Linked DNA regions of Schizosaccharomyces pombe. The protein of the gene in region 2 purifies or fractionates together with the protein of the main gene of each other region. This does not show direct contact. Each region holds a gene or a part of one and is shown on either strand. Other genes may lie near its edges. The genes, in order: rpt4 and scl1.

What was found.
Region 1: the proteins of scl1 (region 2) and rpt4 purify together in Schizosaccharomyces pombe (affinity purification with mass spectrometry, with the first as the bait; one study listed by BioGRID). This does not show direct contact.

What each region holds. Positions count from the first base shown.
Region 1 is NC_003421.2:403,772-408,172, reverse strand, and holds rpt4 (proteasome regulatory subunit Rpt4), read right to left. Parts: upstream 2,573-4,401; 5' UTR 2,562-2,572; coding exon 2,344-2,561; exon of another isoform or gene 2,290-2,343; intron 1,922-2,289; exon of another isoform or gene 1,871-1,921; coding exon 922-1,870; 3' UTR 578-921; downstream 1-577. Other genes in the region: mug122 (PX/PXA domain protein), read right to left, coding at 3,675-4,401.
Region 2 is NC_003423.3:955,673-959,326, forward strand, and holds scl1 (proteasome core particle subunit alpha 1), read left to right. Parts: upstream 1-1,961; 5' UTR 1,962-1,985; coding exon 1,986-2,720; 3' UTR 2,721-2,965; downstream 2,966-3,654. Other genes in the region: Pex16 family peroxisome import protein, read right to left, coding at 1-320, 365-629, 672-816; meiotic dynein intermediate chain Dic1, read right to left, coding at 2,997-3,654.

The DNA.
Region 1 (4,401 bases), on a different chromosome or scaffold from region 2:
AGGGAATACTGGCATTTCCTACGCTTACTCTTCTTTGACAAACAAAAAGAGGGAAACTGTACGCCGATTTTAAAGAAACTAGCTTGCTAATCATTTTATTATCAGTTATTTGCGTTTCATACTTTTTTCCTTTTAATACGTTAATACTTCATTTGTAATTTTTTAGATTATTCATTTCTGCGCTCTTTGTTTTACGCCTTTTCGTCGTCTTTTTCAATGACTCTATCTGGCTATCTTTATCTTGCCTTTACTTTCTTGAAATTATGGGATAAAATGACTTCTAAACTGCGCATTCAGCTTCATCTAGTACTATAATAACTAGTTTGGCTGCTTATATGAAGCCAGCTATGATTTTCACCTCTCTTATTCTTTTATCTTAGCGTACTAGACGTTTTTCCTCGTTTCTTTGTCAAAGGTCTACTACCTTTTAAGGATAACTTCAAACTATCCTTCCTGGGAAGAGAAGAATTTTTGCATTTTTGAACCGGGTTTCGTTCAATATATTTAGTTCGTTCTTTACACTTCAGTGCATTTGGTTAGTTAATAATTTCTAGTCAAACATTTGCTTTACTTTTAATTCATGTGTATAATTAATTGTTTATTTTTACTTGATCATTTTTTCTTTTGTCGCCAGTAAATTATGTAGAGTGGAAAAACAATGTTTGGTATTTGGAGGATATGGAAAACATAATCAAATATTGAAGAAAATCAGTTTGTACTATCACAGATATGCCTTACGATAATATACATAGATTCCCATCAAGCATATTCATATATACATGATAAAAGCCAAAAGAGTCGGAATATATTAAAAGTAAACGTTTCACTTACTATTCGACCTTTTTAATCATAACTATGCAGTTGCGCGTATAATCTTCATCGGTAAACTTATCATTTCATGGCTTTTTGGATATATGTGCACTAAAGCTTTTGGTAATCAATTGTACCTTCAAGTTTCTTCAGGTCAGCAACCTTACGAGCTGCGGACATTAAATCGGACTGAATGACATAGTCGCGATCTTCTTTAATGGCTATGAATCCTGCTTCTGTAACCACATTCCGCAAGTCAGCACCATTTGTTCCATCTGTCAGTTTAACCAATGCTTCATAGTCAATTTCGCCTTGTTTAGAGACTTTTTCTAAATGGATTTTCAAAATCTCCATACGACCAACTTCGTTTGGTAGGGGAATTTCAATTTTACGATCTAGACGACCAGGACGAAGCAAGGCAGGATCTAGAGTATCAGGACGATTTGTCGCCATGATAATTTTCGTTTGGCCAAGGTAATCGAAACCATCCATCTGATTCAATAATTCCATCAATGTACGCTGAATTTCACGATCAGCAGATGTTCCTTCAGAGAATCTTCTACCACCAATAGCATCAATTTCGTCCATAAAAATAACACATGGCTCATGCTCTTTTGCATAGCCAAACATTTCACGAATTATTCTAGCAGATTCTCCAATATATTTATCAACGATAGCACTGGAAACTACTTTTAAAAAGTTAACACCTAAAGATGCCGCCACGGCACGAGCTAAAAGAGTTTTACCAGTACCAGGAGGACCATAGAGCAAAACACCTTTTGGTGGCTTAATTCCCACACGAAGGAATAATTCCGGATTCTTTAAAGGTAGTTCAATAACTTCACGCAATTCACGAATTTGTTCATTCAAGCCACCGACACCGGCGAAAGAAATGTCACCAGGGTCTTCAATTGACATATTGTAAACGAGAGGATCAACCTCACGAGGAAGAATACGCATAATGGTTAACGTGGTCATATCTAAAGATACACGAACGCCTTGAACCAAATGAGATTGGTCGACATTGTTTCTGCAACCTACAACGTAACGTGGACCAGAGCTAGAATAGGTTAGGGAAACAGAAAATAATGAAAGGAAATAAAAAATAGTGTACTAATGCAACGATAGATTTGTAAAAAGAGAAGGATGACTATACGTGAGGTATCTACTTTCCCAACGATTTGCTATGAAACCAGTAAACAGAGTGTTTCATGCTTCCGGTTATAGATTTTTATACCGTGTGCGCATTTCAAAAAGAATTTTTGCTGGATGGAGAGGTTAGAACCAAACAGTTTTTGAACACAGATTTTGCCCACTGAACTTATCTTTAAAAAAAAAAAGGAACGGGCAAATGATTATATGCATTTAAACATGGTTCCCATTCATACGCCACAAAAAATTCTTTATGAAGGAATTCAACGCCCAACATATGCATTACTAATAATAAGGTCTTCACATCCATTTTCACATTTCACTTGTATATATCCTCCACGTAAAGCAAACAATCTCCCAAAAGTTTGAGTAATTACTTACCTAGCTTTTACAATGAATCTTTCAGAATCAAGTTGTTTCAATACTTCTCCAATAATCTGACCAACCGACTGCAAGCTTTTTATATCATCCTCTGTTTTATCATATTTCTTGACTAGATCTCGATTTCCAAAACGCAAATCCTTCAGTTTTGAATCCCATTCTCGATGTTGTAATAAATAGGATTTATATTTCTCTAAAGCAGTGTCTCTTTCCGACATGGTTATTTCGCAAAAGATGTGTTAGTTCTGGTCAGAACATACTAGCAAATGGGAATCCAATTACTCGGTATTTTACGTTCTTAGAAATTATTAAAACTTCACTAAAGTCGTTTTCGTTAAATAAGCATTGCGAATTTCAGCGGAATCTGTTCTTGCGTAAGATTATATTTTTCTATAATAGCAGTATGATTACTAGACTACAGTTTTCTTTAAAAGAATATTTTGAAGTTTGAATTGAGTATCTTTTCAGTTTTGCAAGTTCATGCTGAAACCCCAACCGAAAATGCATTATTATTTTGTTTAAACTTCTCATATTTAAGTTTTCTCGAAACCAGAGGTATTACACTCCTGTCGCTATCCGTAAAAACAAAAACTTGTTGAGCAAACATCAAACTTTGAAGATGCTAGAATTACTGTTAATCTCAAAATTAACGAACGTTTTCTGCTTTAAAAAATTTCATCCTTCGTAAAATTTTGGGTACTGCTATGTCAACAATTTGGTAGTTGCTTCAAGTCATTCTGTTAACAAAAATTATGCTTAATCCGCCAAAACTTGGTCTCTTAAGTTGAACAATCCAATTCAATTGACCACTTGTGTCAGAATATGATTGTCAATTAATATCATAGTTCCTACAACTAAATTTTCTAAACATATACACGTCTAACTTTTTCTTACACAAAAAGCTAGATTGCTTGTAAAACGGAACGAACAATTAACCGAATAAACGAAACTCAATATGTATAAATTAACGCAAACTTGACTAAAGATAGAGAAGATAGTTCTCGACTTCGCCAACTTTAAACAAACAAATCTTAAAGCAAGGTAAAGTCGAAAATACGATTTTATAAATAAATATATAAAAGAAAGTAGGATAATAAAATATTAACAAACGAGGTAGAAAACAAGGGAATGGTTCTAAAGGTTCGTTTGATTTTGCGATTAATCATGAAACCGGTCATCACGTATCGACCAAAAGCTAATGGAATTTTAAAATGTAAGAGAAGGGAAACAAAATGATAAAAAAGGGAAAGAAGTAAAAATCATTAAAATGCCAGGTATATATCGGCGAAAAGAAATAAATATACGGCACACTTGCGATATACCTTGATTGACTATATGATGCTACGAAGAGCATTGCTAAGTAAATGTGCAAGGAACCCTTGCACGAATTGCGGTTCTTGAAGCAGTTCGAAAATAATTTTTAGGCTTTCCTCGGAGGTTGACTGTCCAAGCATAAGAGTAAAATTCTCAGATAAAGCGTTTTCAACAAGGGTTTTTTCGGCTCGTAATCTCAAACTTTCATCGCTTTCCTCGTCACAAAAAACTGAAACAGGGTCTTCAGGAACAGATTTGCTAGCCTCTTCGAAAAGGGAATCGGCTTCGCTATCAAAGGAAATTTTAGATTCAGTTGAACGTCTGTGTGCCCTTGTCGAATGTGATTCCATGGCTTTTTTTTCGTCGGGCCATACGTTTAAGATTAACGAAGTTAATAAATCTCCCACTAGTTGAGTGTTTGAAAGCTTGTCATAAATTTGGTTCTTTAACATTCGTTCAACTTGAGCCGAGAACCTCCCAGGACCATGCAATACTGTCGTCTTCATAATCGTTAAAACTGATTTTCGAAAAAACCACAACTTGGAATTCAGAGAGCAAAGCTCATCAACCAGAGCAAATCCCCCGCTGATAATTTCTTTAAGACGTTCTTCTTTTAATTCAAAAGCGTTTGGTTTAGGTGGCTCAGTGGTTGGACTTCCGTTATGATCAGGCATCGCTGGGGGGTTTTCAGTTGGTTGAGTGGAAGCGGGACGGTAAGGCTCATGAATCGAATCCTCATCATCC
Region 2 (3,654 bases):
ACATATAGATAAGCGGACGACAAACTTTAATAAAATTAGAAAAAATCCGTAGATTGGGAAGTCTTTTTGTAAAAATCTCATCTGGTAGAATTGAAGAAAGACGTGGAGTTCGGTTTTGCAAGAAGTCAAGCGATGAATTGACTGTATTAAGTCTGGGAACAACTTTCTTGGAGTTTTTTAACACAACAGCACTTCCTGAATTAGAGTATTTCTTGTGAAGATGAATGAAAGTCTTTACATTGAAATCGCGCTGCAATACAGGATTAGAGAGCGGAAGATCACCTCCAGTAGTCCACATAATGTGAACCCGAAGTAAAAATCTAATATTTGTTAACAATTTTAATCGAAAAGTAGATTTCCGTACTTGACTGATTCCAAGAATAGGACAGAATCATACTGTCTTGATGGATTGTATTTAGAAATTACAAGCTCGATGGGGAACGTCGATATGTTTAGAAAGTATAGAAGTTCCGATACTTTTTCGAAGGAAGGATTCTTTTTTCTGAAATATTCTAAGTACTGAGTACGTTCACTTTTCAAAATTGCTTGCTCTGTTTTTGGTAACTCAGCAATTTTACGAAACAGTAAGCCAGTATGGAATTGATGAAGTAGTAGTAAAATAGATGTGACTAAACAAAAGGTTAGATTACAACAAATAGCTAAATCCATACTTGTCTGTGATTTAAGTTGATCATCACGAAATTCCGCTGGCAACAAATAAGCTGCATAGCTAAGCAATCTTTCTATTTCAGTAACTTTAAGAAATGACTTCTCATCCTTTAAAAGTTGATCTTCATAATATGCTAAAGGTTTCATTTTATGTCCCAAATGACTCGTCAGTATAAATAATAAACTTGGTTGCTTATTATACACAGAAGAAAAAAGGGAAACAGTTTTTTAGTAAAATGATAAGGTAATTAATTTTCGAAGTTATGAAGAATATATGCAGAGCTCACAACCAAAACAAAAAGAAGCTTTAAATCTTAGGTATACTAACAACCATAAATGGGTATTGTGATGAGCAAAGAAGTCCCTATATATGAAAAAAAAAACTAATTAAAAGGATACGGGGTATTATTTCCTGAAATTACTAAAACCTGGTACAAATTCGCAATTGCGTAGGTTTGGGCGTGGGCATCTGCAGATCTTGTTGAAACATCCATTGCTAATAAATTCAAACTCACTATGGTTAAATGCTTAGCATATGACTGAGTCTTATAACTTCAAATGATAGCTATATTCATTTATTTATTTTTTTTATTTTGTTGTATTTTCAGTAATTGCAATTTCTTCGTTAAAATTATCATATAGTTATTCATTAACAATGCTTTAGTTGTTTATCATTTAAACCATTTTATAGTATTTTTCTTCTGCTTGATTTATAAATTTTTAGTTTTTGGATTGTGTTAAGTTTTTTAATTCTAGCAAAACAATAAAATCGAATGCATAAATATTTTATATTTTGAGTTTCTAACAATTTATTTCTACATTTGTGATTTCATCTCAGAAAAACCATAATTTATTAATTTAAACGAATATCATTCCTAGAGGTTTAGTCTTTCATATCACATACAATGCCATCTTACATTTTTTCTTAGCATAGCTATTTTTTTTTCTCGAAATTTGAATTTTTTAATTAATCAACCAATCGAGCATCCTTTTCAATTATACTTTTTAATTATTTTTTGTAAGCTCAATGTCAATTCGTCGTGGGCAGCAAGTTTCGCATAGACTAAACTATATACTCAAAAAGTTGGATATTCCTATTCTAATAGATTAGATAATAAAATTAAAGTGGGAAATATCAGAAAATCAATAACTCATTCTTTTTCAATTGAATATAGTTTAATATGTTCGACATGCATCTGTTTACATTATAAAGAGTCGTAACGCAAAATATAGCGAAATCGAAGAAGCTCTTGTGCGTGTACTAATGTTCCACAATTACTAAGTTTCAGGTTATAAACCTACTACTACCAACTACGATGTCTCAAGCACGCGGATTTGATAGGACAATTACCGTCTTCTCCCCTGAAGGACGTCTTTATCAAGTTGAATATGCATTCAAAGCGTTTAATAACGCAGGGATTACATCTGTTGGTGTAACAGGTAAAAATTGTGCATGTGTAATCTCCCAAAAAAAAGTACCTGACAAACTTATTGATGCCTCTACCGTTAAACATGTTTTTCCTATTACTAAAGGAATCGGCTGTGTTATGACAGGCTCTATCGCGGACGCTCGCGCGCAAGTTAGCCGGGCTCGAAGTGAGGCTGCTGAATTTGAATACAAAAATGGATACCCTATGCCCTGCGATGTTCTAGCCAAAAGAATGGCTAATATTGCTCAAGTTTCTACCCAACGTGCTGCTATGAGGCCTTTGGGAGTTGCAATGACCCTTGTAGCTGTGGATGATGAGATTGGACCTTCCCTATTTAAGCTCGACCCTGCTGGTTTCTATATTGGTTATAAAGCTACCAGTGCTGGACCAAAGCAAACGGAAACTATAAACTGGCTAGAAAAACGATTCAAAAAGGACGGAATACCTTCAAACCTTACTGATACCGTTGAAACCGGAATTCAGGCTTTAATGAGTAGTTTAAGTACTGATTTTAAGTCTACTGAGCTTCAGATTGGTGTTGTTGAAGACGACAAACCATTTCGAGTTTTATCAGTAGAAGAAATAGAAGCCCATTTACAAAGTATTGCCGAAAAGGATTGATTGTTTAGACCGGTTTGAATGAAAGTTTTACTATATACCTGTAATTTCGATTGGCATCTTTACGTTCTTACTTTCCTTTATTCCTCCCTTTTCTTGAAGGGTTTATTTGATTTATAAAATCAGTATATGCCATGTTACGTCCTTCCTGATGAAAACTTTTCGCTTTTTCATAGAGTAAGATATGTTAGAGAAATATATTTCTTATTGAACTTGACATTAATATTTCATTGATTTGTGCGTCGTAAAATTTAATCTAAAATCAGTATTTTCATTCGCCTAATTGGCTAAATTAGGGCTTAAATGTTTATAAATATGAACGTTTCCATTGAGGCCCCCACAAGCTAAATTTCTTTTTTCTGGCTGCCATGCTATTTTGTTTAATGGTTTACCGTCTGGGATATCACTAGTTACCGGAGCCTCTACGTCTTTTTGCAAATCCCATAGGTTTAAATTTCCTAGTGCATCAACGCTTGCGAAGCAACAAGGTTCCGATACACACCATTTAACATCAAAGACCATTGCCTTATGAGTAAATGTTTTGCAACTGTTTATGATAACCTGTTCATCTAAATCATTTGATGGGACTAATTCGTGCTGGTTTCTACTAGGAGAGCATTGCCAGAGACGCACGGTCCAATCAAAACTACTAGTTAGAGCAAAGTCTTTATTTTTTTCAAGAAATACGTTTTGACTGTTTGATGTCATTACATCTATTCCAGAAATAAAGACATTGTGACCCTCGTAACTAACATTTGAAGGTTGTACAGCCTTCGTCTCAGAGTAATCAGATCTATAGCCCCTTTGTAATTTTCCATCTTCAGCTCCCACTAAAAACTCCATGTTATTTTCAGGGATAAAAGATAGACATGTAGCTGGGATACATTGAGAGCTAGAGTCGACTTGAGAAGATAAGCATATTGTTTCACTCGGTCTT